Regions from separate parts of the Mus musculus genome. Here regions 1, 2, 3, 4, 6 and 7 are each reported to be linked to region 5. The links are microRNA targets in miRTarBase. Many come from high-throughput screens and were not tested one by one. Region 5 holds a microRNA gene; each other region holds the end of a gene's coding sequence.

Region 1 (4,238 bases), not on the chromosome of region 5:
AGACAGGGTTTCTCTGTATAGCCTTGGCTGTCCTGGAACTCACTCTGTAGACCAGGCTGGCCTCAAACTTAGAAATCTGTCTGTCTCTGCCTCCCAAGTGCTGGGATTAAAGGCATGTGCCACCACTGCCCAGCTTTGTGTGTGTGTGTGCACCACATGTACACTGCCCATGGAGTCCAGAAGAGGGTAGGATCCTGAAACTGGATGATTGTGAACCACTATGTGAGGGCTAGGAACAAAAGCTCAGTCTGCTACAGGAGCACAAAGTGCTCTTAACCCCCGAGCCTTTCCTCCAGACCTCTTCTTAGCTTTTGATCCTTGCTGTCTTTTGGCAGATGAAGTCAGCTAGTCCTCTCCTTGAAGTATGTTAAAGCCAAGGAAGGTGTGGTAGAAATGGTCAGATGTTTATTCTGTCTGCTTGATTTTTACAGAGGGGATAGTATATTCCATGGTAGGGGAAAGCGGAGTGACATGCCCTTTGGTCTAGGAGATGAGTTTAAGGTAATTATACTATCCATCTTGTAGGAGTTGAATTTTGTTAATATATATTTAGTGGTTATGAGTTTTGTTCCTAAAGATCTTTTAAGAAATATTCTTATATTCTCCCCTCATTTCCTCCCCTAGGGAATAACTCAAAGTTTTCTTTGGACCATATACCAGTTGGAAATCAAGGTGGTGGAGATGAAGATGTTCAGTTCAGACCATTTTTTGTGTGTTCTCCCACAGCGCCTGAACCCATTAACAACTTCTTTAGTTTTGCATCTCCAAGCCATGAAGCAGAGCAGCAAGTCTGCAGCAGGGCCTTTAAAGCAAAAAGAATTTAGCTCATTTTTCATTCCTGCATCCCTGAGTTCTCTTCACATTTCGACCTTAGAAGAAGTTGGCTTGCAGTAGGGCGTGTGGCTTCCTGTTTGGTTTCTTGATTGTTAGCTTAGGGCATGGGCATTTCATGAATCTCAGTCTCTACGTTTGTCATTGCTCACACAATCACATTGTTGCACAGATCCTGATTCAGACCAAGCTGTGTTTATGCTCATAGAAGCCTCAGTGTTATGTTTCCCTGGAGCTTTGGATTGATTCTACCGTGTTTATGTTAAATGTGTGCATTGATTTTTCTCTGCTAGTATATTTCTGTAAAAATAATGGTCTTGGAAAATGATGGCCAAAAATGATAGTCTTGGAAAATGGTGGCTTTCCATTAACATGTATTTTAACAGTCATGTATTTTCATTTGTGTTACTTTGTTTTGGAGGTGCACTTATGCCAGTGAATGAATGTGCAATTTGATGCATATGAATTGTTTATATGTAAAAATAATTTATACTGATAAAGTTATTTGTTGATTTCATTGTTATTTGTTTCAAAATAAAACTGCTTCTTTACTTTTTCTTTTTTCTTTTCTTTTTGGCTTTTTGAGACAGGGTTTCTCTGTGTAACCCTGGCTGTCTTGGAACTCACTTTGTAGACCAGGCTGGCCTTGAACTCAGAAGTCTGCCGGCCTCTGCTTCCAAAATGCTGGAATTAAAGGCGTGAGCCACCACCACCCGGCATATTTTTATTTTTAATTATCTGTGTCCCTGTGCACAAGAGTGTGAAGACTTTGGTCTCTAGCATTCTAATTACCTAATCTAAAATGCTGAATAAAGGCCATCTTTATTGAGCTGTACAGCAAATATAGTCATGAGGACCCAAGTGGTGGTGATGTACAACTTTTATCTCAGGAGACAGAGGCAAGCAGATTTCTAAGTTTGAGGCCAGCCTGGTCTACAGAGTGAATTCTAGGACAGCCAGGGCTGCACAGAGAAACCCTGTCTCAAGAACCTATACAAACCAAAAAGGACCAAGTAGCTTTTGCTTAGTCTTCTATGCAAATCTTATAAGGGAGAAAATTGTTTTTCTGGCCTTGCTTACAGAACATTGCTAAGGCTGTGAATTCAGGTGAGCCCGGAGATGCACTGGAGGTCCAGAGTGTAGTAAGACTGACTCTACAGTGTTCTCTTGGTTCAGTCAATTCTGAACAGGTTGACTATAAAGTACGAGTGGTTCCTACTTAGAAATGACCTCAAAGCACATTAACATGGTTACAGATTAGGTGAAAGATTTGTGAAGGTCAACTTTAATCAGAACTTATCAAGCCATTCCTATACTAGTGCTGCTGACTATAAGAAGGTATATTAATGCTTTTAAACAGTTTTTCTTTATCAAGTACTATTTCTGACTTATAGGGTAATTGTGCCTAGTTAGTACATTCAATTAGTGTTCCACTAGAGGGCGAACAGTAACTGGATTCCAAGGGTTTTCCCTCCACATACACCAGTGTGAGACGGAGTTAACCTTTCTAGCTTTGTTTTTGTGGAGACATTATTATTATTATTTTTCAGGCCTGAGCTTACTATGGAGATGGTCAGTGAATTTTGCCAGATAAGGACACTTGGTGACAGTCTGTTTCCAGAGGTTGGGGATGGTGGGGGCAAGACCCACAGTAGCTGTGGGTCTTAAAGGTGGCATCAATGGTGGCCTTGGCAAAGTTGTCCATGGTGGCAAGTACAGCCCCTGGTTGATGGGTAGCAGTTATCAATACTGGCCAGCAATCATGAGCTTCTTGGGGACAGGAGCAGAGACATGCCAGTGCCTCTGGGAGCAGGGATAAGATGCACCAACAGAGACACAGTGACTTGTCATCTTGCATGGCACAGTGTGGGGCTTGCCAGTCTTGCTTCCCTAGTCGCCTTTCTGCACAGGGCAGAAAGCTTGGTTGAGATGATTGCCCCTTGATGGCATTGCCTACCTCCCTGAAGCACCTAACACCAAGACCAATAAGTGAAAATACATATTTTATAGCTAGTAAAAAGATTTTAGATTATAGTTTAAGAAATATTCTTTCTATGAGATTTTTCAATTTTGTTGGAAAAATATAAGGAAATAGGCATCTTGAACAGTTTGAAATATAAGTAGGGTAAATTTGAAAAAAATTTAATTATAAACTGTCAGGAATATTATGTTTCTTAAAAAAGTTAATTTTAATTTGCATGTCAGGCTTTTCATTTTTTATGATTTCTTTTTTTTTTTTTTTACCTTATGTGCATTAGTGTTTTTGCCTGCATGCATGTATGCCTGTGTAAGTGTGTCAGATAGCTTAGAACTGGAATTATAGTCAGTTGTGGTCTGCCATGTGGGTGTTAGGAACTGAACCTGGATCCTCTGGAAAGGCAGCAAGTGCTCTTAACTACTGCACCATCTCGACTGCCCCATTGTGGGCTCTTTTAAAGGCATGAAAAAAAGCAGAGGGAATTGTAGGCTTAGATTTTTTTTTCAAAACGTACTTTAATAAGGGTCCTTAAATTCTTTAACTTCACTTCTAGCCTCCCACCCACCAGAGGTCATGCAAAAGAAAGGTTATTAGGACACGGGAAGTGGACCTGTTTAGTTTAGAAAGAGTTCTTTGGGTGATTCCAATCTTTGTTGTCAGCATTATCAGCAGTTCACTCTACTAGCAAACTACCACACACCAATCAGCAGATGCAGTTCCATCCACTCAGCAGACACCACATACGAGTTCAGCAGCTGTAGCTGGATTCAGAATAAACTGAGAGGCTCTGCTGGGTCGGTGTGGAGTCTGTGGAAATGGCAAGAAGCCGTCGGAATATCATGAGAAGTTCTTGGGTGAGTTACTCTCTGTTAAGATCAGTGAGAAGCAGAGATCAGCAAGGTGGTGCAAGGCCTAGAGCGCTATCAACTGAGACTAGCGAGGTGCAAGATGAGCCAAAGCACAAGCCTTGTCCCACTCACTGTCTGTGGGATCATATTTATATTCTTTCTCAAGTGTCTGCTTCAGCTAAACATCCTCTCACCTGTGTCTGCTTCAGCCAAACATCCTTTCACCTGTCTGCCCCAGCAAAGCATTATGACCTGAGTCTCCAGAAATTTCCACTTCAGGAAATGATCACTTTTTTTCTTTGTCTCTGCTGCACAGTCTTTTTGGAAGCATTTGGAGGTGTTTAATGTCTTTTTGCAGAGATAATTTTTTTAGCAAAGGAATTTTAAAAGTTTTAAGATTGTGGTTGGATGTGGTGATGCCTGTCTGTAATCTCAGGACTTAGAAGGCAGAGACAGGAGGAACTCCTTGAGTTCGAGGTCAGCCTGATCTACATACAGACTTTCAGACAATTGAGGTTACATAGTGAGACCGTGTCTCAAAACTTAAAAACCAGGGGTAACGAATGTCTATAATCCAAGCA
Region 2 (4,238 bases), not on the chromosome of region 5:
CTTGTTAGATGCAAATCCTCCCTACCATGCCAAGATACAATCTGAGGCAGAGATTCTTGGGAGCTTAACCAAAATGTGAAACAGACAGCAGTTGAAGACTCCTAACCAGTGACACTTCCAACATCTGTGGCAGTCACTCCTTAATCAAATCTACTCCTCTCCCAATCAAATTTATCTACAATCTACAAATAGTTTCCTAAAGGTCATAGCAAACCTTACTGAATAAACTCTGTAGAATACTGACAAACACCAGCCAGTAGCTGGTTTCCAAACCAAGGCTCTTTATACAAGCTGACCCAGTATCTCCGTTCTGGACAGCTGTCAGCACCACAATGAAGTACAACATCAACTCTGCGCCTCAGTACCCATGCTAGGAAGACTGGAAGCACAAATCTTGCTGACAGCTGCTCAGCTCACTGACCATTTAGGTATCTGGTACCTCTTCCCTGGTGGAGATTCTCCAGTGGTAGTACTCTTTTCAAGCCTGTCACCATTCCTCTATCTTCCCACATACTTCATTCTGCATACCTGTACTAATTTGGCCACTACTTCTGTTATAGTCTCTGTAACCAGACAAGCCACTCACCGTGGCCTATGAGTTTTGTTTTGTTTTGTTTTTTTTTTTTTTTTTTTTTTTTGCACATTTTTAACTTTAGGTCTTGTTTCCACACAAAGTACAAGGCCAACTGCAACATTTAAATCTACTCATTGACTTTTTCACTTGCCACCATCTTTCAGGGTGTTCAGACCTATGGTACTTTTATTGTAAACTTAATCCACAAGCAGCATTTTCATCTGTGACCTGAAATCGTGCTTTCTCCTCTTGTCTGTTAACTGGCTGAATGGGATTCCCCTCAAATCATGTGTTCGCGTAGGCGATAGTGGATTATCTGGGAACCCTGGCTCACTAAGGGATTTACAGCCAGCACCAACTTCATCTTAAAATGTATTGTTGCTCCCAAATGACTTAGTAGATCTGGTGAAACAGAGCTAAACAGGGGTTTTACGGCATATGATCATTTTATAAACCATGGTTAGAGGCTTCTCCTCTACAAGGGTCTGGTTAAGCAGTGTTTTTCAGAAGGTAGTGAAGTGGCTGCTGTAGATAGCATGGTAGGAAGGATCACCCGTCAATAAAACCTAATAGCCAGTAGAGTAAGGCAGGGTTAGAAGGTGCCATGTCCAGCAGAAAGAAAGTCAGGGGAGATTTTGAAGGACAGCAGAGAAGAAATCAGCCACATAGCTGACACAGGTTAGAATAAATGGAATAATAAGTTAAGAGCTAGTCAGGGACTGAGCCTAGCTCATGGCCTAGGCATTTATTAATGATATGAAGCCTCTGAATGGATATTCAGGAACTGGGACATGGTAGAAAAGTCCATGGATATACAGTATTAGGAAAATAAAAAAGGTATTTCCCCCAAATCTGATACTACTAAGTGATACTATGGGCAATTTATGTAACCTCTGTTCAGTTTCCTCAGTAACAGAATTCTGATAAAGATTACCTTATTGAGTTATGTGAGGACTAAGTAAGAAAATACATATAAACAAGAAGTGTTTGGCCGGGCGTGGTGGCGCATGCCTTTAATCCCAGCACTTGGGAGGCAGAGGCAGGCGGATTTCTGAGTTCGAGGCCAGCCTGGTCTACAGAGTGAGTTCCAGGACAGCCAGGGCTACACAGAGAAACCTTGTCTTGAAAAAAACCCAAAACCAAAAAAAAAAAAAACCCAAACCAAAACCAAACAAACAAACAAACAAACAAAAGAAATGTTTGGCTTAAGTTATTAATGTTAGTTAACCCACCTTCTTATGAATATATGAAAAGTCACTATTTAACAACTTTTCTATATTGAAATAAAAACTGTAGTACTACAAAAATTTAGCATGTCTCACAGAAATTTAATATATGCACAAAAATATGAGTGAAACTATATATAAAATACAAAAACAAAAGAAAACAAAACAGAAAGGCATACAAGGAAATAATTTATAGACAAAGGAAATCACACAAAATAGTCACTTATAAGCTTAAGACAGCAATTCAACGCTATTTTATAATTGCCTAATACAAAATATTAACAGCTGGCATTGACTAGATTGTGATCAAATTAGAATACCACTATTAGAGACAGGGTAAATAAACACAACTATTTTGACCAATAGTTTATAACCCCTTGGAAAACAAAACATTGTGTAGGTCCATTATCTGAGATTTCTACTATGCATCAGTCAGTATTTTCAGCCTACTGCCACTTCCCTCCAGATGAAATAATTTCCAAAATGTTCCAGGGTACAAATGACTTAAGGTCTATATAACACCACATATATAAGTTTGAGAAATGTCCAACTCAGGGCCTGTATGACACAACAAAGAAAGTAGAACATCAAGGAACTAAGGGTTAAGTATCAGGACGAAACATGGGCCCCATCTGTCCAATCCAATCAGATCACATTAGCGCTCTGAGGATTACGGGCATGAGGTGCTGATGTGGAAATGTACGTAGAGACAGTAAGAGCTGCAGGATCTCAGGGTGTGTACTGGGCCCCTCCTGCTTTCTAAAGGAGTTTTACCTTTGACCCAGACAAGCAGAAGGCACCAAGAATTTCATCAATCATGAAGCTTTGGAGGTTTTTTTGGTAGAGAAGACAGACTTAGTTACCTTTACCAGACTCTTATAAAATATACTTTTCATTTAATCTGCTAGGTCCTACATTCACCAAAAAATTATTGATTAGATTATGAGAAGTCTGATAGAAATCTTACAAAATATTACAGGACTGTAGATAGAATAATCCAAGTGTAATACTGTGTAATAACACATTTCTTCCCAAGCTCCTACTAAAATACTCAAAGCTAAAAAACACTCAAATTTCAAGCTTGTGGAGATCAATTATTAAACATACATAAACATGATAGTCCAACCTCACTAACGTGAAAGTCTCTCCAGATCCATTTCCCAGCCAAGGATCTGGCATGCTGTCTCCACAGGACTGACCTCAAGTAGCTCGGTGTATGCATAATTGCTATGTGTTCCCTTTAATGGTCCAGTGACTTTCTTTACAACTATTCTGTATCTGAATGATTTTATAAGCAAAAGAAAAGTCATTAATACTGTACTTAGAAATTAAACTAGTTAAAAGCTGACTGTCAGCTATATTTATCCTATAACTTCATCTGTTTCTTTGTATTTTGGGCATTTGCATACACAATTTACCAACTATATGTACCTCAGGTTCTTTAATACATACAAAAGATTTTTGTAAGAAAAAAATTGATGATATACATGCAATCACAACTACAATAATTGGACCATAATCACACTAGGTAAGAAAAGAGGAATCTGCAATTTTAAAAGTGCTAAAAAGAATTACATATGAAAATAATGTTAACATTATTATATAAACAACTTGGATCCCAAATTCTTGGAAGTTCATGTGTAAAAACGTCAAGGTGAGAAGTCTGTACTCTGAACTGGCATGCACTCAGTTGGGTTCTTTTCCTCTGGACTTTGCTTCCTTCGGAATCTTCCCAGCTTGACTCTGCGTAAATCTGGCTACTGTAGAAACACCATCCACAAACTTGGTTTTGAAGAGAACGTTTGCATTGTTGAACATACCTTCTTTGAGGGATACCACAATGAACTTAAGGAAAGAGAAAAAAGAAAAAAACATTAAAGAAAATATTCTTAAAGTTGTTCACTCTCTAAAGAGGATTTAAGAATTGAATGGAGCACAAAAACAAAAAAGTAAAAGCAGACCATGGGATGGGAAGGGGTGGTGGAGGCATAAGGAAAACAGCAAGAAAAATGGTAAACTGTGGTGGTGGTGTGTGTGTGTGTGTGTGTGTCTCTGTGTAAATATAAATGTTCCCATCTAGACTGACATAGAAGCTAAGGACTAACACACTAATAGTAGGCATATAAACATGAGAAGCTTCTGAGTTGATGGTCAGGATTTCCCAAGTACCTTGTAAAACACAAAGGCCATTACTATTGCCCCTGGTTACCTCCCAGAAGTGGAAGCTACACTACTGCTAAGGATACTATGAGCTTTGGACAAAGTATCTGCAGGCTACTTGCTGATTGATTCTGACCTGAAAGCCTCTTTCCTGAGGCTTAGCTTTTTCATGGTATCAGAAGGTGCCATGCAGTTTTCAAGGAGGGTAGTCAACCAATAATCCGACCCAGCACGGCAGTGATAACCCTACGGCATGTACATCCTGTCAGTCATCAACA
Region 3 (4,238 bases), not on the chromosome of region 5:
CCTCAACCTTTGTTAGCTTCCTGAGGGGACAACAACACCTTCCAGGATGCTTGCAGAGAAGTCACTGGGAAGGTGTTTATTCTAGTGCTCCGGAGCCAGCAGGAAGTAGGCAAGGCCTGATAGGTTTGTTAAAATCAAAACAACAAAACCCACACAAAACCAAGCTGCTCATCTGGTCAAGGAACTAGAGACTAAATATGGCTCTGTCTAGACCAATGGCTCTCAACCTTCCTAATGCTGAGACCCTTTAACACAGTTCCTCATGTTGTGGTGACCCCCTGCCCCCAACCATACAATTACTTCATCGCTACTTCATAACTGTAATTTTGCTACTGTTATGAATCACAATGTAAATATCAGATATGTGACCCCCCCCCCCAAAGAGGCCATCTGCAGGTTAAAAACCAATGGTCTAGAAGGTTGTCATGAACCTGAAAGATGTTCTGAGCTGGCAGGTAACCCCATGGCTGTGCTCTGAGCACAACGCTGGGCTTCAAAAGTCAAAGGAAGACCAACAGAGTCTCCTAACTGGACCCTTGGGGCTCTCAGAATCTGATTCACCAACCAAAGAACATACAAGGGCTGGACCTAGGCTTCCTATTCATATCTAGCTGATGTACAGCTTGACCTTCATGTGGGTCCTGAATAACTGGAATGGGGGCTACCCCAAAAGCTGTTGCCTGTACTTGGAATGTGTTCTACTAGCTGGGCTGCTTTGTCTGACCTCAGTGGGAGAGGAAGCACCTAGTTGCACAGAGATTTGAAGTGGTAGGGTTGGGGTGCGGGGTGGTGTGTGTGGGGAGGGAGGATACCCAGGAAAAAGAGGCTGGACAGACCTCTCCTCACCACAGTGCCTGGCATTCCGGGTGATGGGTTTTTCTGCCTTTTGTTGATCTGAACGCTCGATACAGTTCTCCATAATGAGCAGCTGGCTGTTATCTGGTGACGACCTAAGAGCTTCTAAGAGGTGCATGCAAAGGGGAAATTTTGGCCACCTTGCAGGAATCTTTCGAGGGCCACAAGGACCATGGAACAGGTTCCTCTTCTTGAGCTCATTTCAAGCAGCTCATTCTCCCTGTCCCCAAACCCTCTTCACCGATGCTAAAGTGGACCAGCTCCCCCTCCTGAGCGTGAGTGACAAGGGACCCAAAGGTGGACACTTCCACTCATTTCCACACCGTTTCTGCCTGTCTGGGCCTATCAGGCCTAAATAGGAAGGGAGGGAATGAAGCAGTCGTCCCAGCTTCTGCTTCTCCAAGATAGGAAACTGGGGCAGAGAAGAGAGAGGCTTTGTTTTTAGGTGTGGTCTCAGGTCTCCTAAATCATATTCAACCCGAGTGATTAGAGTACTCACTCACCCAGAATACATGAAGTCATGGGTTCGATCCCTAACCCCCCCCCCCACAGCAGTCACAGTGGGGCACACCTGTAATCTCTGTGCTAAGGAGGCATTGCCTCAAGTTCGAGGCTAGCCTGGGGTTATATAGCAAGACTCTGTCCCAAAACACAAAGCAACGGCAACAGCAACAGCAACAGCAGCAGCAGCAGCAACAACAACAACAACAACATCAACAAAAGTCATAGCCATTTCTGTCTGTCTAAAGGCAGTGCACACTCCACAAGGCTTGAAGAACCACAGGCTCACTCTCCAGAACCCGTCCTCCCCAGCAGCCTTAAAGATGACTGTACCTTGCTGGGCACATGACCATAGCATTTTCTGCTTTTGTTTGCAGCCATCTGGAAATCACATGCAATATAAATAGGGATGAACTCAGAATCCCACGCTGGAGAGATGGCTCAGCGGTTAAGAGCACTGACTGCTCTTTCAGAGGTCCTGAGTTCAAATCCCAGCAACCACATGGCGGCTCACAACTGTCCATAGCTCCAAGATTTGACACCCTCACATTCAGACATACATGCAGGCAAAACACCAATGCACATGAAATAAAAATAAATAAATAAATAAAATTAAAAAAAGAAGAAATTAGAATCTCTCCCAGTCCCCACCCCCTCTATGAGACAAGGTCTCACTATGTAGCTCAGACTGGCCTAGAACCTGCTATCCTCTTACCTCAGCTTCCCAAGTGCTGGGATTTATAGGTGTACATCCGGAATGCTAGACTACACTTCTTTTTGACATAATTGAAGGAGACAGAAACAAGCACCTGTTCATTTCTCAGTCATCCTGAAGACCTACTATGCACCTGGCTGGCTTGTGATCTGGATCAAAGCACCAGAGACAATTGTCCACTACAGAAAGTCCCCAAATGGGACTAGCAAGAGGGATCAGTTGGTAGAGGCGTTTGCTACAAAGTCTGATGCATGTGAGTCCCATCCCCGGGATCCATCTGGAGGAAGGGTCCCAAATGTTGTCCTCTGGTCTCTGCACACACATACACACACACACACACACACACACACACACACACACACACACACACACACACACAGAGTAAAAAAAAAAATGAAATAAAAAAAGGAACAAAACTAAAGCTAAAGCCACTAGCTTAGTTGTCCTTAACCTTCCTAAGGCTGTGACTTTTTAATACACTTCCTCACATTGTGGTGATCCCTGACCATAAAATTATTTCTGGTGCTACTTCATAACTGTAATTATGTAATTATAATGTAACTATCTGTGTTTTCTGATAGTCTCAGGTGAGCCCTGTGAAAGGTTTGTTGTCTTTTTTTTTTCTCCTGGGGGTCTCGACTCATAGTTTGAGAATTACTGCCCTAGTGGGTGGGGGAGGGGTCTTTGTAACTGTCAAGTTGTAATTTTGGGGACACCTACCCTGACTCTCAAGATACTGGATGAAAAAAAGACCACACAGAGTTGAGGGAAAAAAGAATTTTTTTATTAATCTTTCTTTTTTGTTAAAAAAAAGTTGATTTTTTTTTGTTTTTTTTTTTGTTTGTTTGTTTTTGTATTTTTTTGTGTGTGTTTTATTTTGTTGTTGTTGTTTTTTTTTGTAAACCTCTTTCTGGCTCCCCTCCCCAACTCTGCCCCACCCTCCTCTTAAAAATATAAAAATGTCCAGCCCCAGATAACTAGAGTACAATAAATAAACAGTAGACACAAAAACATACTTTATTTGTTTCTTCTTTATACAAAATAAGGAAACTAGAAGCGTCCGACTTCCAAAAAAGTATAATACTGTTCGTCCTGATGGCCCAGCCTCCAGGTCCCGGGCAGGGAGAGTGATCCGTGGGCAAATGCTCAATGACTTGGCGCCCGGCTCAGGGTCAGAGCAGGGTGGGAGGGTTCGAATCCTGCCAGGCCCCTCAGACTCAAAGTATGGAGGAGCAGGGAGTTGGGCTCAGGAAGGCCAGGCCCAGACCGCGCACCTTCCTAGACAAGCTGACATTGAGCCACCAGGGGGCGCCAACTCGCAGGTGGATTTGTCTTCCTGCAAAGCCACCATTCACCGGCGGTCCTCCTCATTTTTCTTCTCTGGCTGAGCTTTCCTCAGCTCGCTCGCGCTCTCTCTCTCTCTCTCTCTCTCTCTCTCTCTCTCTCTCTCTCTCTCTCTCTCTCTCTCTCTCTCTCTCTCTCTCTCTCTCTTTCTCTCCCCCTTTCAACCTCTCTTTCTTTCTTTCCTTCCTTCCTTCCTTCCTTCTTTCTTTCTTTTTTTAAAAGAGAAAGTGAGAAATAGGATTTCACAATGCCTCGGCTCGCAGGGAGGGGTAGTGCCATGGTCTCCGCTCCTTGGCCTCATCCCCCTCTCTTAGTTCAAGGAGGTGATGATGGGTGGGGGATCCGGAGGGCTTCTAAGATGTGCTTGGAATCTCGACCCTTCAGAATATTGACTTTGGTCCCGAGAAATTGCGCAGGCGCGTGCCAAAGCTCTGAGGGGTGGTGATGCGAGTGGCCTGGTTGGGTGCGAACCCACGAGAGGACTCTTGAGGCTTACCCAGGCGGCGTCCCGTCCCGGGCTTGGTGGCAGGGGGACAACTCAGCCCCTCGGCCTTACCATACGGCCGCTTCGTTGAGCTCAGGGTTGGGGTGCGACAGGGGTCCACTGTAGCCGCTGGTGCCGCTCATGGGGAAGGGCGGGCTGGGCCCGCCGCTGAACACCTCTCCCGGCATGGGGTGCAGCGCACCGGGCAGGCCCGGCTCGGGGCTCGGCGTGTCCGGATGCGAGATCATGTCGGTGAATCTGGGGTTGTCCGCGCCGTGAGGCCCGGCCAGCGGCGGTTCCAGCGCGCCCAGCGGCGTCGAGCCAGGTCCCGATGCTGCC
Region 4 (4,238 bases), not on the chromosome of region 5:
TGCACAGGACACTCACAGTAAGTTCCACCCTGGTGTGTTGGCTGAGGGCTGGAGTTCAAAGGTGGATGATAAAGCCAGGATACTGCCTGGGTTAGGATTTCCATTGCTAAGAAGCCCATGACCAAGGTAAGGCATAAAGGACTACATTTAATTGGGGCTGGCTTACAGATTCTGAGGAATCCGTTATCATGGCGAGAAGCACGGCAATGTCTGTACAGCATGGCGTTGGAGGAGCTGAGCGGTCTACAACTTGTTCCAAAGCCAAAACAGAAGACTGGCTTCAGGCAACTAGCATGAAGGTCTTTGAGCCAACCCCCTCGGTAACACACTTCTTCCAACAAGGTCACAGCTCCCAACTGTGCCACTCCCTATGGCCAGGCGTATTCAAACCACCACCCTGGCTCACCACTGTAATTCCAACAGTCGGGGAGTGGAAATAAGAGGATCAAGAGTTCAAGGCTAGCTGGGCTAAGTGAGACCTTTCAGTAAAGCCCATTTTGGTCTGATGGGGTTGGAGGTTTGTGCCCGGTGTCCTGTGGTCACCAAGTTGGGACCCAGCCTTCCATGATGTCACACAGTATGGCAGGATCTGTGGGTCCTGGCTTGAATATCAGTATACAGAGATATTTCGCAAACCCAGAAGGCATCTTGCTCATCTGTCCGTCTCTTCAGCATGGGGCTGTGCCTGATGTCCATCACTAGATGGAGTTCTAGTCTCTAAGTCCCTGGAAGTTTCTAGAACAGCATTTGCAGCTGGTTTCTCTGCAACTGTCGGGATCTTGCTTTGCCTGTTAGGGTCCACTGGTAGTCGTGAATGACTATTGGGATCTTGAATTTGAGGGAATGGATTTTTATATTTATTCATTTATTTGGGTTTTCAAGGAACTCACTCTGTAGACCAGGCTCTGTGGACTCCAGAAATCTGCCTGCCTCTGTCTCCTGAGTGCTGGGATTAAAGGCATGCACCACCACTGCCCAGGCAGAAACCATTTCCTAAATTAAGAAAAATAACATGAGGGGCTGGTGAGATGGCTCAGTGGGTAAGAGCACCCGACTGCTCTTCCGAAGGTCCGAAGTTCAAATCCCAGCAACCACATGGTGGCTCACAACCATCCCTAATGAGATCTGATGCCCTCTGCTGGTGCATCTGAAGACTGCTACAGTGTCCTTACATATAATAAATAAATAAATAAATAAATAAATAAAACTCCGAAGAAAAATAACATGAAAAGTAGACATGTTGGTGTATGTGCCAAAAAATGGTCCATGTGCCGGAGAGGTGGCTTAATGGTTAAGAGCACTTGCTGTTATGACAGAAGTTGGGGTTCTTTTCTCAGCCCCAAAATAACTCCAGTTCTGCAGGGTCTGACCACCTTATTGGCCTTGGAGGGACTGCATGCACACAGTACACAGGCATGCAGGCAAAACATCCATATACATCATTTAATTTGTTTTTTCAAGATGGGTTCTATGTATAGCCCTAGTTATCCTGGATCTCACTCTGTAGGCTAGGCTAGTCCCAAACTTATATTTCCCCTGACTCTGCTCCTTTAGAATTGGGATTAAAAGGTGTGTGCCACTAGTGCCTGGCAGAAATTGTTTGTTTGTTTTTGTTTTTGTTTTTTGGTTTCTCTGTGTAGCCCCTGGCTTTCCTGGAACTTACTCTGAAGACAGGCCTGGCCTCAAACTCACAGATTCACTTACGTCTGCCTTCAGAGTGTGTGCTCCACCACCTCCCAGCAAGGAAATCCATTTTAATTTTAATAGTCATATGTAGGTTCTTGCCACCATATTGAATAGTTTAGTTCTAGAACTTTCTAGACACCCCCCACACACACACACACACACAAGGTTTTGTCATAGAGGTTAAGCTGGGCTTGAATTTGTGATCTAATTCTTTTGTACCTCTGAAATTTCCTATAGCCTCCAAAATGCTAGAGTTATAGGCATGTGCCACTACACCAGGTGTCGTAGTTTAAATTCACTGTTGCTATGATAAAACACAATAGCAAAATGCAAATTTAGGAGGAAAAGGTTGGGGAAAAAAAAAACCACACTTCCATATGACTGTTCATCTTTGGATGAAATCAGGCGAAGAACTCAAGCAAGGCAGGAACCTGAAGTCAGGAGTGGATGCAGGGGCCACGGAGGGTGCTGCTTACTGGCTTGCTCAGCCAACTTTCTTATAAAACGGTGCCTACAATCCCAGGGTAGCAAAACCCACAATATACAGGGCTCTCCCCATCAACTGCTAATTACAAAATGAGTTAACATGGCTAGACTTTGGCTCAGTGGTTAAGAAACCTGGTTGGTCTTCCAGAGGACTCAGTTCAATCCCCAGCATCTATGTGACAGTTTATAACTGCCTGCAACTCCTGTTCCAGGGACCCTAACACCTCACATAGATATATATGCAGACTAAATACCAATGCGTAAAAAATAAATTTGAATTAAGAAATGAAGGCAGCTGGGCGTGGTGACGCATGCCTTTAATCCCAGTACTCAGGAGGCAGAGGCAGGCGGATTTCTGAGTTTGAGGCCAGCCGGGTCTACAAAGTGAGTTCCAGGACAGCAGGGCTATACAGAGAAGCCCTGTCTCCTGTCTTGAAAAAACCAAAAAAAAAAAAAAAAAAAAAGAAAGACAAGAAAGCAAATGTGCTACATGCTTTCCTACAGACTGATCTCACAGAGGCAGTTTCTCAGTTGGGGCTCCCTTCTCTCAGATTGTACCTTGTGTCAGGTTGACATAAACTATCCAGCGCCAGACATGGTGGCGCTCTCCTTTAATCCCAGCACTTGGGAGGCAGAGGCAGGTGGATTTCTGAGTTCGAGGCCAGCCTGGTCTACAGAGTGAGTTCCAGGACAGCTAGGGCTACACAGAGAAACCCTGTCTCAAAAACAAAAAACAAAAAACAAAACAAACAAACAAAAAAACCTATCCAGCACATGTGCAGGTGCCACAGCATTCAAGATAGCAGAGAAATGCAGAAATTGATTCTTGCCCTCCCACTCCCCCACAGCCATATGGGTTTTGATATCTGAACTCAGAAAGTTAGGCTTGGCAGCAAACACCTTTACCTGATTGGCCATCTAGCCAGATTACCATTCCCATTTAGAAAAATAAATAGTGTGGCATGGTGGCGCACATCTTTAACCCCAGTACTTAGGAGGTAGAGGCAGGTAAATCTCTCAGTTCAAGGCCAGCCTGGACTACAGAGTGAGTTCCAGGACAGCCAGGGCTACACAGGGAAACCCTGTTTCGGAAAACCAAAACAAAGCAATAAAATCATCAAACCAACCAACAACAAACTGAAAATCTGGGCTGTGGATGCAGAGTGTGGGCCCTTGCCTAGCAGGCATGCGACTCTAGGTCCATCTCTAACAACTCCTCAAATAAAAAGCATCTCCAGTTGTTGGCAGTGATATTTATTTTTCTGAAAGATGGGGCTTATATACAGCAGTGACAAGATGCTCCCCCCACCTACAGGGTCTTGTGGGGAAAGGAGGAGGTATTGACAGAAGGCACACAGTGGTAGCCCCAGGAGGCCAGGAAGTAAAAGTAAGAGGGTGTAGTGTGTCCTGGGGAACCCAGAGGATGAAACAGAGGCTCAGCTAGAGCGAGCCTTGGTCCACACAGTAAGTGTGAGGCAGCTGGTCCCGAGAGCTTGTGCTGGTCACTTGAGGCTATTTGGCTACAGCAGGACACAGGGACATCCTCCATCCTTCTTCCTGGGAGCACTAGGTGGGCTAGGAGGGAGTTCTTGTTCCTGGTATTTCCTGTGGGAAGCAGTCTGTGAGTGTGTGATGCAGGGCTGATGACCGGGAGGTCAGGAAGGGGATACCGGGCTTACCGGACAGCGCGCACCAGCTGCTCAAATGCCTCATCGACATTCAGACGCAGTTTGGCTGAGGCCTCAAAGTAAGTCATGTGGTGGGAAGCACTGAAAGAGGAGGCTTCAGACCGGAGGACCTGGAGAAAGACAGAGGGAGGAGGACAAAGGGAGGCGTCGGAGAGAGGAGATGCTGAAAGCCGCCGCAAGGTGTGCTCGACTGTATAACTGCAGCAGGCTCAAGATAGAAAGTTCTAGAAAGACCCCAGAGGAGGCTACTGGAGGGTTGAAGTGATATCAGTGAGATGTCAGGAAGATTATGAAGGTGTTTTAGGTAACTGGAAGGCAGGCAGGCAAGAAGTAAGGGTGTTCTTGTTCAGGACAGGGGAACCAGTATCAACGGATTAG
Region 5 (4,238 bases):
AAAATATATTTTTTAACTGATTAAGATTTCTGAAGCGAGAGTATAGGACTGCTGTAAACAAGTAGGATTAGGTCGGGGAGTATTATTGTGTTTTTATTATGTAATATGAATTACACTGATGTAGCAGGACTGTTAGACCCTTTTTGCTTTGTGAGGAGCTCAGGGGATTGTGAGGAGAGACCACCAGAATAACTAGGTCGTTGCTGGAAGGAGGAGCATCCATGACAACCTTCAGCACTTCAAACCCATTCCCATTTCTGGTGAGTTTTTTTTTTTTTTTTTTTTTTTTTTTTTTTCAGCGACACAAGAGGGGGTTTCTTTGTGTTTGAGGTAGCTCTTGTCCCAACAAAGTGTGATATCGCCATCTCACCCCCCCCCCCAGATTGTGTAAAATCAAATGCAAACCTAAAATTTGTGGATATAAAGATCCTAATTTACAGAGTTTTAAAATCAGAAAACAAAACTAAAAGCCACCTTTTTAGGATGGAGTGAATAGGAACTAGACCCCCAAGAATATCATTTCTGAGCTCATTTTTTCCTGAATCATTGGCTACATTTCAACCATTCAGGTGGAAGAGAAGAAATAGTATAAAAACATATTTTTTAGGCCATTGTTCATTTATGGACCATTTCTATGCCCAGGTAAAAATCACTGTCACTGTGTCTCTTTACAGCTTTGTTTAGTTTATCTATGACTGATGTTTGACAGTATTTATGATGTGAATCTACAAAGAAATTCAAGCATGGAACATTTTCTTTCCTGGACCCACGGCTGAATACAAACCAATCTATTGTCTATTACTTTTTCCATTGCACATATGACTCAATATAGAAATTAATATTTTACTATTTATATACAATACTCTCAATATTTAAATTAGAATGCTGATAATTTTAAATATATGTTGAATGCATTAATTCAGACACATTTGACCCAGGACTCCTAAGACAAATCTTCATTATATGGGATTTGGTAAGCTACTCTGCCTCCCTAGTGAGCTGTGCTCTGCAGTATGGTTTTCTCTGCACTGTGGGATTCAGGCCTCCTAGGACTGCAGTACCTCCTGTGAGGAGCGAGGCTCACTGCCAGCTCCTGGGCACCATCACCCTGCCACTCTGTGGGCCTTGGCCTCAGAACTCAGTAAGGAAAGCTGTCCCACAGAAAGCCTTGCTGAGAGCCACGAGAGTGGTTGCAGGCTTCTCTACTCCTGCCTGCTCTGGTCACTAAATCAACCTCAGTCAGAACCTTTTAAATATATTTTGAGGCACACTCTAGGGTCCTTTGAGAGGTATCTTTGGTGACCATATCTGAGATAAGATCCTCAACTGAAAACCGTGTGTTTCTCTTTTCAAGATTGTGATTTAAGAGGAAAAAAAATCTATTTAATCTCTCTCTAGCACATTTTGTTAACTACTCGGGTTTCTGGCCAAATCAGCTGATTGTCAGAGTGGATGGTTTCAGCAAAATACTGTTTAGCCTGTCTTTCCGTATTTCAAGGTTTTTATTTGTAAGTTAACTAATATCCTGGGGTATGGGGCTGGGTTAGAGAAGAAGCGATTCTATAATTCTATTGCCTTGTTTGCAGAATTACCACAAGAGGAGGGGGAGGAGGTAATGGAGGAGGAAAAGAAAGAGGAAGAGGAAGATGATCCTGTCAGCAAGGCGAGGGTGCGGCCACTTTGGGTTATCCTTCTCCAGCCTCTCCTTTGTTCCCAGGCCAGATAGGCCACCACAGAACAAAGACTTCCACCAAGGCTCTTTCTCAGCGGTGGTTTTCTTAGGCTTTCGGGTTATGGAACCTACCTTAACTAAGTACCTCATGGTCTTCCAAATACATTAATTTACCAAGTCTTAGAGTTCCTGGCTTGGCCTTTCCCTCTTATTGGACAATATTGACTGATTTGGGTATTGTCACTTTGCCTTGGCCTTTTAAATCCAGTCAAGGCTACCATGAGACTGGGTAAAGAATGGGAGAATAGTGAAAAGCTTGGGGCGGGGGTCCTATTTTCACTGATAATTGAGTCATTTGAGGTTTCTTATGCAGTGTGGTCTGGGGTTTCTCATCCGTTTTGTTTTCCCAGTTCGACCCAGAATTTTATTTGGAAAAGGCCAGCACTCTCTGAGTGCCATCTCTTAGACCGTTTGCACCAATGGGAACTACAGCTCTCCTGACAGCTGTCAATGAAACCTCTAATATTCCCCTTGGGAGTATGCATGCGGATTTCCCAGATTCTCGCTGAAAAACATTTGACTGTCTTGTATTCTAAAGATTTTGAATCAATGCGAGGGGTCCTTGTGTCGCACAGGATGGGTTCATTCTAGAATTGTTTCTCCCCACCCTTCCTAACTTCTCTCGGATGTCCTTCAAGTGCAGCCGTAGGCTCCGCTCTTGGCATTCACCGCGTGCCTTAATTGTATGACATTAAATCAAGGTCCGCTGTGAACACGGAGAGCAGAGTCTCTGATCTTGATCTAGAAGCAAGTGACTCATTGCAACTATTACTATAATTTTCTCCCTGCCCTTCACCCTCTCTTGGAGCTCTAGGCTTGGAGTCCCTACTCCTAGAGTTGTAGCTCTGAGCAGTACTCCCACCTCAGCTTTCCTCCCGCCACATCTGTCAGAGTTGCCATTAATTAGTCTGCAAGGTTGAAGAGTAGCGGGTGCATGAGTCTGCGATTCTTATGCATACATCTGCATGCCATTTACAGCGCACCTAAAACCCATACATATGTCTATAAATCTAGTTTTCAAATGATGACATGGATCGAAGTTAATTACCCCTCTGGTACAGATCTAATTTCGTAATCGTGTTATTTTACTGAAGGCAATTAACTGAGTTGGTTCGCCCTGAATGCCGTCCTAAGACATTTGTAAGGAAAGGCAAGTCTTTAAGGACCACACCATGAGTGTTCTGCTGCAGAAACCTTTGTCACTCATCCCCTGTTGCCAGAGATCTAGCAGAAAAAGCGAATATAATCATGCATGTTTGTATGTCCGACAAACACACGTATACGCCTTTGATAGCCCGATTTTGGTTGGGAAATTTTGGGAAAAGATCAGAATCCCAGGCCGGCTGGGTCCTCCTTCTTTGTATTGCGGAAAAATTAACTCAACAGCACCTGCCGAGTCCCGGGAGAGCTGGGGCCCATCTGGTCTGGCTATGATTTTACTGCGAAGAGAAAAGGCTGCTTGCTCGGGCTTCCTCCGGCTCTGGAGAGCAGAGATCGGGTCTGAGCCCGCTCTGGGCGTAGATTTAAGGGCAGCGCAGCAGATGCGCTCTCTCTGACTGCGGCGGGAGTCAGGAGGAGATCCGAGTCTGGGCTCGGCGGAGGGAGGGCAAGATGGAAAGAAGAAGAATGAGGGGAGTTGACCTCTACGGGCGGAGCCCTCTGGACGGCAGGCCGGAGGCGGCAAGCAGCGGCTCTTTTCACAGCATCCCTTGCGGCTGGGTGGGCCAGGGGGATGGACGGACTGCGCTCGCCTGAAGAAAGCCAAAGGGCTCAAAAGCAGGTTTTGTGCGGAGACCCCAGAGCGCTCCCCCTGAAAAACAGAATCAAAGCGCAGAATTAGAGCAGGAGGGAGGAGGGGGAGACTGGAGAGGAGGGACAGGAGGAGGGAGGAATCACTCTAGGGAGCCAAGGTGACCGGCCGTCCGGACCTATAGAATCGAGCTCGGGGAGCCCCTGCAATGTGCGGGGCGACAGGGGAGTTCCCAACTCAATCCCGGCTTCGGAAGGTGAGAAGATGCAGTCAGGACGAGAGAAATGTTTTCCTGAGATGGAGTCTTGAAAGCGAGTCCTCAGATTGTCCTCTGTGCAGTCTCAGCGATTTGCGCATCCCGCGCGCCCTTACCCATCTAACCCCTCCCTCAGACCACACGCCAGAACCGCATTCTCCAATCTCCACCCCTTCTTGGTTTAGAATCCTGCAAACTGCAAGACTGAAGAGTTCTCGCATGAAAATCGAAATGATCGATGAAATAAAGAATTTCATATAGGCATAGCCCTAGAAATCCAAAGGCGAAAGAGCTGCTAGCTCTGCTCAAACCTGCAGAGGACCAAAGCGTTTTCAGGGGCTGCTCCGCGTGTTCTCGGAGGAAAGAGGAGGCTGAGTGGTTTCCGCGATATAAGGTGCTTTAGGATGGGCGGTGGGGGCAGGGAGGGGGTGGATCGTAGCGGTCCGGTCTTTCCCCCTCGCTTGCTGATCCAGAATTAGGGATTAATGGCTCGCTCCAGC
Region 6 (4,238 bases), not on the chromosome of region 5:
TGGGTAGCATGACTTTCCAGTCATCCTAGGAACAGGCATAGCTACCCCTGAGGGTTGCTATGGGGCCTTTGGAGTCCCTAGCCACAAAGCTCTGCATGCCTGTTCTGTCCTGTTGTGGGGTAGGGTACTGGGGATATATAACATAGTGTCTCTGGGCTGTTAAAACAGCCGGGCCAGCTGGTGGCACATGCTCCCAAGCCTCCCAGTGCTCACTTTACTGTGGCAGACCTATCTTAGCCTTCCTTCCAAGGTGATGGGTAGTGGCTGGAGCTTGTACTGGCTGGCTGGCTGCTGGTCCCAGCACTAATCCCATCCAGGGCTGGTCTACAACTCCTCTGGCACGGAACCCTGTTATGACATCTACCGGTTATACCAAAGCTGTGCTGACCCCACTGGCTGTGGCACTGGCTCTGACGCTAGGGCTTGGGACTACCAGGTTTGTGGACAGAGAGGAGCTAAATTACCAAGCATAGGGGTTGGGTGTGTGGCTTGCCTGTCTGACTTATTTTACTGTGGGGCACCTACAGGCCTGTACGGAGATCAATCTGACCTTTGACAGCAACAATGTGACAGACATGTTTCCTGAAATCCCATTCTCTGAAGAACTCCGCCAGCAATACTGTCTGGATACATGGGGCGTGTGGCCTCGGCAAGACTGGCTGCAGACCAGCTTCTGGGGTGGTGGTAAAGGCCTGGGCTGGTGTTTGGGAGTTGGATGCTGGGAAGGATCCTGTCCTCTGTCCTGAGCTGGTTCTGCAGTGCCCAGATGCAGCTCACAGCTTTAAAGCCCTGGATAATTTGCCACCACTTGCTGTGTTCCTTTTAGACCTTAAAGCAGCCAGCAACATCATTTTCTCCAACGGTGACCTAGACCCCTGGGCAGGGGGCGGGGTAAGTCCAGGCCTGGCAGCTGCTGGCCCCATGTGGGTATTCTGGGCAGTGCTTGAACTGCATTGCTAGGCTCCTCATACAACTTTGCCTTTGCGATTGACACTCAGGTTCACCTGGCCCAATTCATCTGTTGCTCCAGTCCTCATTATTTCCTCTTCTCTCTTTTGGGTTGCTTTTTTTCCCCCTACATCACTTGATGTATAGTCTAACATCTGGCCCATCACATCCAACCTTTTCTTTCCAATGGAGCTATCTGAAACTGTGCAGTAAGCTCATTATTGCTTCAGTTGCATCCCAAAGACAGTATTGGCATCTATGTCAGGGTGCAAGGGTGGGACAGGGCTTGCCTACCTGTGGCTTAAAGCACAGACTACATGCCTCAGATTCTTCCAACAGATCCAGAGCAACCTGAGTACATCAGTCATTGCTGTCACCATCCAGGGGGGAGCACATCACCTAGATCTCAGGTACAGTGTAGTGCAGCCCACCTCCAGGCCACTGTTGGGTTGTGGATTAGATGGACATGATGCTGACCCTGTCTGCTTGCCAGCTGAGTATCCTTACCCCTTATCTGTCTGCTTCTTAGAGCATCTAACTCAGAAGACCCCCCATCTGTCGTGGAGGTGCGTAAGCTGGAATCTACCCTCATTCGTGAGTGGGTAGCAGCAGCCAGACTAAAGCAACCAGCAATGCCACGGTGGCCTGGGCCTAAGAAGCAGCACCCTTCCAGATAAGATGCAGCAAACCCCAGACATCCCTTGTTTTATGTGATCTACAGTGGTGTGACAACTTGCCTTGTATCTGATGGACTGTCCAGATTTATGGTAGATGGAAGAAACTGAATAAACACATGTTAATGTGTCCTTGTCTAGTAGGATCCATGCATGGAAGGATGAGATAATTGGAGATATGCTCTACACAAAGTAACACTGCACACAGCTTGCTGAGACCATTTAGACATTTAATTAAGCAGGGACTCTAGCTCTCAGGTTTCCTGCTTTGGAGGAGGAGGGAAACCTGCCTCTACTGGGCACCAGCCTCCCCTTCCAGGCCCATTCCCATCTTGTATGCTTTAATGAGGCTCCCAGCTTTGTGGACATCTACCCAGTTTCTCTGATCCACAGTACCTCTTCAGAGGGCCACAGGGCAGTTACTGTCATCCCTTGACACCAGCCATAGTTTGGCAGGAGATGGAGAATACACTTCTCAATGCTTAGGCCCTGGGCGCCGCCTGAACCTGTCCATTCACAAGCCTATGGGGCTCCGGTAGAGGAGGACAGCATAGGGAGAAGCTAACATCAACCAAAGGGTTATAACTGATGGGGGGGGGGGGGGGTGGAGGGCGGCAGCTTCTACCCATAAACTCAAGGCCTAAGGATATGTGACCAGCCAAGTCCTTCTTTGTAAACACCTTTGGTGTTAGAACTGGCTTGGGGTCCACGTGTTTAACAGGAAGTCCCCAGCGTAGCTACTATACCTCAGAGGCACAAGGTGGCTGCCACTGAGCTGCAGATGAGTTAGTTAGCATGTCAAATCTCCAGATCTTGGGATATACAGGGAACACAGGCCCAGAGCCTTGAGGTCCTTTCTATTCTGTCCAGTTTGCCCTATGCTGTACTGCATGGAATTGGATAGGAGAATCCTAGCCAAGGCCCAGGGATAGTCTAGTAACAACTCATCAAAGACAGGGCCTACTCCATGGGCTCAGACACCAAGGCACAACTACCACAAACCTATCAGCCGGCAGCAGCATGTGATCTTCACAGGCCCTTGTGAGACGGCACAACCAAGCATCCTAGCCTGTTTGTATAATGGCCCCAAAGCCTTCCTACCTGAAGTGGACAGGAGCTCTGACTTTAGAGGGTAGTTGCTGAGATGTTATCCAGAGAACCTGCTGTCCCCTTAAGGTCAGTCTAGATAGACACCACCCCTTCCCTCCTCTCCACAAGAACCATTACAGTGGGACCAAGTCCACTTTCTTCTCAGCTGAGAGATCACATTATACCAGGGTATCCTGGGAATAAGACAAATTTACTGTTCTAACCCCCGCCAGCCCAGTAGGGTAGCCAGGAGGATCCCTGAGTCCAACCCGTAAACACTAGAGCCACAAAGACCCTCAAGGTCACACTGGCCCAGTGGACCCATGGGTCAATCAGGAGTCAGGGCTATCACAGGCCATTGGGCCATGCCCAGCACCTCACTGGTTTGGGCTATCACTCTGAACTCAATACAGGCACTGGGGTCCTGGGTGGTCCCAGGAGGTGATAAGAAGTCTTGGGACTACCATGGGGCTGCCGGTAGCCAGCCAACAGGGTCATTCAGGTATGGGAATCAGGAGCCATGATATGAGGTTTCGAGGAAGTCAAAGGCTTGGTAGACTTTCCAGCCTAAACCCCAGAACCCATACCTGCTAGTCTGACTCCTGCCCCTCCCACCACCTTCATGAAAAGTTGAAACTGGAGGGACCTACAACTGGGCAGGTACATCACACTTGACAGCTGCCCAAAACTATGTGGGCCTTGTGAAGGTCAGGGACCCAACAGGCCCACCTCAGTCTCCATCAGTGCCCAGACCAGGTGCTCTCCTCCTACGCAGGAGCCCAGATGGGGAGGGGATGGGCTTCTGTGTTGAACACACAGCTGTCCAGACTGAGCAGCTCCAGGTCATCAGAAAAGAGCAGGTACAAGTACTTCAGGGTTTCCCCCACAAAGAAGCTCTCCATCTTGTCCCTGGGCTCAGGCTTGTGGGAATTCTGGACGTTGTTGATAGAAGAATAGCCACCTGAGGGGACCTGCATAAGAGCCAAAGCCTCAATGACACAGGTTGAGCCAAGCCTTGTGAAGAACTTCTAGCTAGACGTGTCACTCAGGCTACTTGTTCAACCCCACATATATGGCCCCAGGGTAGGCTCCATCCTAGCAACTACCCAGGTAATGTCCAAGGTCAACCACAGTTCTACACAGGACCCTGTAAAATGCCAATAACCCCCAAGTGGCCAGAAAATACCTCCAAGAAGGGTACAGCTACAGGACATGACCAGGGTCTAGCTTGTTAAACACAACCCAGGGCAGGCACAGGCAAGAAGCTGGAGTTGTTGAGGTCTGGAGCAAAGAGCTAGGTGTCACACTTAGACCACATCCAGCTCTATAACCTTTTCTGGCCATGTCACAGTAAGAGAGAAGGCAAGGTAGGCCATGGACCCCAGTTGGGGAGGGGTAATGTGTGAGGTCAGTACTCTGGCTCACTGTGAGTGTTTCATAAGCCAAGGGTATGACAGGGCAAGAGAAAAAAGACCCTTCTCAGAAAAGCTTGGGTCCTGAGAATGAGCCCGGAAACACTGGGCATCT
Region 7 (4,238 bases), not on the chromosome of region 5:
ACCTGAGGCAAGGACCATGTGGCCCCTCCAGAGCACCTGCACACGTGCCTGGTGAGGTGCACAGCATTGGAGACACCCCTGTGCTCATGTGGTTTTGACCCAGGCATAGAGTTGTGTGGCATGGTTCCGTGGACAGTGTCAGCACTGCCTTGGCTGTCGTCACCAGCGGGTTCCCTCAGGTGTCTGTAGGTGCCGTGGCATGTGTTCGAAGCCACCGCATAGCTGGGTTTATGGATCTTTTTGGAAGCGAATATGGAGGAGAAGCCAGAGTCAGGGCTGCTCTGCCGTCTCTGGTTTAAACACTCCTTTCTGTGTTCTCTGTGTCTGCCCCACAGTACACACTCAATGGCAAGAAAGTGGAGGTGGCCGTGAAGCAGGTGATGGCTGGGAGGACTGTGGAGCACCGGGGGGCCTTCTCCAACCCCGAGACCCTCGACCTGTACCGGGACATCCCTGAGCTGCAGGACTTCTGAGCCAGCAGCTCGCACTCCATCCAGCTGTGCATGTGATGGAACTTAGGGACACTTTAGAGACAACAGCTGCTCCAGGTGGCCCTGGCACTGCACACTCCACAGGCTCAGGAACAGCTTTCCTCTTTCGGAGTCATTGGTGGGGGCCAGGTCTCCCGAGCTCCAGGATGTGCCTGGCCTTCGGAGACCCTAAGCATACACTGAGGCTTGTCTCGGCCCTGCTGCTATAGGTCAGCACACAGCCTTGCAGGGGCAGGGCTGGTGACATTTGGTGACAGCACACTGGAGGAGCGATGTGGCCTTCAGCCTCATGAGCCCGCTGTTGTATCTCGCTCTATGAAGGTGAAGTCTTACCTATACTCTCTGTCCTTAACTGGCCTGGCTTCCTCAGCGTTACTGTCTTCTCAAGAGCTGACTAAAGCCAGGGCACCTGGCCCAGCATGCCTGTCACCTCACAGCTGGCTGTTGGGACACCTGGGCTGACGGCTCCTGTACCGTCTACCAAGGCCAGAACACCATTCTAGGGAATGGTGAGTGAATTGTCCAGACAGCCAAGAGCTCTCTGCTATGGCAAGTCCCCTCTGCTGTCGGGTGTCCCCGACTGTTTCTGGGTCTTACCAGCACAGTGTTTGAATGGGTCAAACGGTTTAATGTTAATTGAGGGCCTGGGGGCACTTGAATCCCTGGGTGTCTACCCCAGGTTACCACTTAGCTGTGTGCTGGGCAGTGTGATCCTGGAGTCCGCCAGGGATGGAGCTGCCCCGCCTCAGAGGGAAATGGCCCCGTGCTCCCTCCTAATAGTTCCTGGGCTCTTTCTATTGTGACTGTCCTCTACATTTGTAAATGAAGTCTCAGGCTTTGGCTGCCAGGACTTAATGGTGCTTCTCCTCTAGCACACGGAATATGTCATAAATCCTGGTGATTGCTTTTGTATTTTTTTTTTTAAAAACTGAGCACAACATAAAACCTTTTAAAGATATCCTGGATCTTAAGTCTATAAAGGAAAAGTGCTATGAAGAATTTTATGGAATAAATCTGTGCCATGCACACCTGTACAAGTGCAGTACGCGTGTGTTTCTCTGAGGTGATGGGACTCCACATTTGGCTGGCCGTACCAGTGTCAGCTCACTGCTGAGCTGTGAGGTGGTGTGACCCAGCACAAGATGTATAATGGTGTTTCCTGAGCTCTTGGTGTTTAGCATTGTCTTGGTTTGTGTTAAGCCGGTGTTGCCCTGGGCCTCCCCATATCCTGGGCCTCCCTGCTTCCTGGAGCTGGATTACAGGGCGACTTTATCACGGGAGTCTCCTTGGATTTTTGCCACCTAGCCACAGACACCCAGCTCAGCCCTCCATAGCCTTCCTACCACAGAGAGTGGGTAGCAGTCCTGATCTCTAGGATACAGGAGCATCTGGTCCCCGCTTTGTGCTGTGTGCTCCATCGTTCCTGGTGTGGTTGTCTGATCGGCTGCCTGGTGGTGTCATCTGGTTCGTTCCCACCAAGCCTTCCTGTTCCTGTACCCATTCCTGCAGGAAGGGTGAGTGACGGAAGCCTGGCTTCAGCAGAGTGATGGCTTTCCTGGAATGTGTCAGGTCAAGCTGCCTGAGCCCCACTGGCTGTGCTGCAGGGGCGCTTGGGGGCCTGAGCACTGAGGGGACCTTTTGCAGTTTCCCGTTGATTGGTTGTCATGGGGCCTTGACCAGGGGCTCCTAGTTCAGGGGTCAGAGCCCGAGGTGGCCCCACCAGTGTGCACAGGGCTGGCTCCTAAAGGTTCTGCAAGAGTCCCTTCCTGCCTCTTCCTGTTATTAGGGTTGTCTGGGTGTCTGCTACCTCAGCCAGGGCCTGTCTGTTATCTCTAAAGCCTTGGTGGGCTCTCATCCCGTTTATAGTATGTATCTTGGACCCTGGCCATTCCTGTGGCCACCGGTTTTCTTCCCTTTGCTGTGTGCTAGTAAGCATCAGGTTCCCCAATCCCTCTTGCCACACATGTCCCCAAAGGTTCCCAGAGGAGGAAGGGACATCATGGAGGTGGGTAATCTGAATCAGGCTTCTTGTGTGATTTCTAGGGGGCTACACAATTGAGGATGTGTCTGGGCCTTGCTCTTTTCCGTTCTCCTGTTACATTCATTTAATTTGATGGTATAGCGGATGGAACATGGGGCCTCATGTGCTAGGCTGGTGCTGTATAGCACTGAGTTATATACCAGCCCGTTTAAAAAGAGACTTATGGGGCTGGAGAGGTGGCTCAGTGGTTAAGAGCACTGACTGTTTTTCCAGAGGTCCTGAGTTCAATTCCCAGCAACCACATGGTGGCTCACAACCATCTCTAATGGGATCTGATACCCTGTTCTGGTGTGTCTGAAGACAGTGACAGTGTAATCATATAAAGTAAAATAAAAAAAGAGACTTTTATGTGTATGAATGTTTTACCCCGAATATGTATGTGAATTACACGCATGCAGTGCCCACGGAGGCCAGAAGAGGGCAGTTCAGGATAGTGTGGAACCCTCTTGTGAGCCCTGGGGAGATCAGCCAATGCCCTTAACTGCTGAGCCAAATAACTCAGCTGTGCCAGTCTCACCTCTTGAGAACGCAGGTTCTTATAAATTCTCTATCCCATAACTCATTGTTTTCTTACTCTGACTTAGCAGGGACTCGGGGTGTGACAGTTCTGTGAGGTCTGCTTCCCTACATGGTTGACCTAGCAAATTAAACATGGGGTTTAGCCCCTCTGCTTGTCTCATTTCATGGCAGTAGCCTGGGGACTGACCGGTGTGCCACGGGCTGGGGGGTTATGCGTTGGCATTTCTGGCTAGGCAGCCACTTCCCTCTTGTCCCACCTACCTGTCCCCTTCCATCCTGGTATCTCGGCTCCCCACATGAAATGCAGAGGTTGGTGATGGATGGTCACTGTTCATGGTGGCTTGGTCGGGCACTCCGTCAAAGTGACAGTGTCATTTTCAATGTTCTGTCTTCAGACCCCAGGTTTATTTTTAGCCAGCCTTCTCTGAGGTGGAGCCACACAGCAGTTCCCAGGCCTTGCCTCTCATCCTACAGACTGAGGAGGGCCAACCAGTTCAGTCAGAAATCCCAGACCCTTGTTCAGATGATATCCTATCATGACCCCTGCTTTAATCAGAAGATACTCTCATGATTCTTAGACACAGACGCTCTGAAGGAGTTGGATCATGGTTAGCTGTGTGTGTTTGAGATGGGGTCTCTTGTAGCTCAGGCTAGCCTCTAAGGCTAGACACCTCTAAGGGTGTCTGAATTCCTGATTCTCTTGCCTCCGTAACTTAGTTTTTATGTGTCGACAGAATTTGGGGCCCATGGGTCTAGTAGGCAAGTACTTCACAAACTGAGGGCCAGGTAGGATTCCAAGATAACTGCTCTGGCCCTAGTCACAGAAGCTGTGTTCAGAGCCTGAAGAGGTGAGACATGGTCAGACATTTGCACTCTTTGGGGAAGGGGCCGGGGTCCCTAGGTAGTCTCTGGTCCAGAAATAGATCTGCAAGGCATTCTGGGAAAACCATCCTTTAGCTCTCCTACCCTGGGTGAATGAGGAGGAGGGAGCCGGGAAGGTGTTCAAGGCTGAACTTAACTGCATAAATGACAAGGCAGACATCAAGGCTGCTTTGGCCTGGCCAAGGATGCCTCGAGAGGCTTCTGACTCCTCTGTGACAGGCACAGGGCTGGCTGAGCCACTTCCGGCCCTGCCTGGGTGGCTGCCACCTTCACTCTGGAGGTGGGAGACATTAAAAATCGGAAGC

Evidence for each region. The annotated mature microRNA mmu-miR-124-3p reads UAAGGCACGCGGUGAAUGCC and lies in region 5 at 2,393-2,412, opposite strand. An mRNA with a match to its seed (bases 2 to 7 or 8) in the 3' UTR can be bound and repressed. Matches are read on the target gene's strand: a 7mer-m8 pairs with bases 2 to 8, a 7mer-A1 pairs with bases 2 to 7 and ends in A, and an 8mer does both.
Region 1: miRTarBase lists Ccnb1ip1 as a target of mmu-miR-124-3p. The part of its 3' UTR that is shown has no 7-base or 8-base seed match.
Region 2: the mRNA of Smc2 is a reported target of mmu-miR-124-3p. Seed matches in the 3' UTR shown: 7mer-m8 at 2,594-2,600.
Region 3: miRTarBase lists Lhx5 as a target of mmu-miR-124-3p. The part of its 3' UTR that is shown has no 7-base or 8-base seed match.
Region 4: miRTarBase lists Rras as a target of mmu-miR-124-3p. Seed matches in the 3' UTR shown: 7mer-m8 at 3,520-3,526.
Region 6: miRTarBase lists Man1b1 as a target of mmu-miR-124-3p. Seed matches in the 3' UTR shown: 7mer-m8 at 2,605-2,611.
Region 7: miRTarBase lists Aacs as a target of mmu-miR-124-3p. The part of its 3' UTR that is shown has no 7-base or 8-base seed match.

The regions. Positions count from the first base shown.
Region 1 is chr14:50,786,399-50,790,636 of GRCm38, reverse strand. It overlaps Ccnb1ip1 (cyclin B1 interacting protein 1), which reads left to right. Exons shown (of 4, transcript NM_001111119.1): 4 at 625-1,388. The coding sequence ends at 824. Among named protein-coding and RNA genes, the nearest start is that of Ttc5, 3.0 kb to the right of the region's middle.
Region 2 is chr4:52,485,904-52,490,141 of GRCm38, reverse strand. It overlaps Smc2 (structural maintenance of chromosomes 2), which reads right to left. Exons shown (of 25, transcript NM_001301412.1): 25 at 1,777-3,645. The coding sequence ends at 3,487. Among named protein-coding and RNA genes, the nearest start is that of Smc2, 49 kb to the right of the region's middle.
Region 3 is chr5:120,440,055-120,444,292 of GRCm38, reverse strand. It overlaps Lhx5 (LIM homeobox protein 5), which reads right to left. Exons shown (of 5, transcript NM_008499.5): 5 at 2,836-4,238. The coding sequence ends at 3,968. Among named protein-coding and RNA genes, the nearest start is that of Lhx5, 10 kb to the right of the region's middle.
Region 4 is chr7:45,020,819-45,025,056 of GRCm38, reverse strand. It overlaps Rras (related RAS viral (r-ras) oncogene), which reads right to left. Exons shown (of 6, transcript NM_009101.3): 5 at 3,852-3,970; 6 at 3,411-3,777. The coding sequence ends at 3,693. Among named protein-coding and RNA genes, the nearest start is that of Rras, 5.0 kb to the right of the region's middle.
Region 5 is chr3:17,793,897-17,798,134 of GRCm38, reverse strand. Mir124a-2 (microRNA 124a-2) reads right to left here and starts at 2,473; the gene lies at 2,365-2,473. It overlaps Mir124-2hg (Mir124-2 host gene (non-protein coding)), which reads right to left. Exons shown (of 3, transcript NR_033490.1): 2 at 3,122-3,542. Gm51272 (predicted gene, 51272) reads left to right here and starts at 2,394; the gene lies at 2,394-2,450.
Region 6 is chr2:25,349,806-25,354,043 of GRCm38, reverse strand. Man1b1 (mannosidase, alpha, class 1B, member 1) reads right to left here. Exons shown (of 13, transcript NM_001029983.2): 13 at 1,831-3,682. The coding sequence ends at 3,479. It overlaps Dpp7 (dipeptidylpeptidase 7), which reads left to right. Exons shown (of 13, transcript NM_031843.2): 9 at 318-436; 10 at 528-684; 11 at 827-891; 12 at 1,288-1,358; 13 at 1,478-1,754. The coding sequence ends at 1,625. Among named protein-coding and RNA genes, the nearest start is that of Dpp7, 4.4 kb to the left of the region's middle.
Region 7 is chr5:125,515,881-125,520,118 of GRCm38, forward strand. It overlaps Aacs (acetoacetyl-CoA synthetase), which reads left to right. Exons shown (of 18, transcript NM_030210.2): 18 at 336-1,525. The coding sequence ends at 473. Among named protein-coding and RNA genes, the nearest start is that of Tmem132b, 14 kb to the right of the region's middle.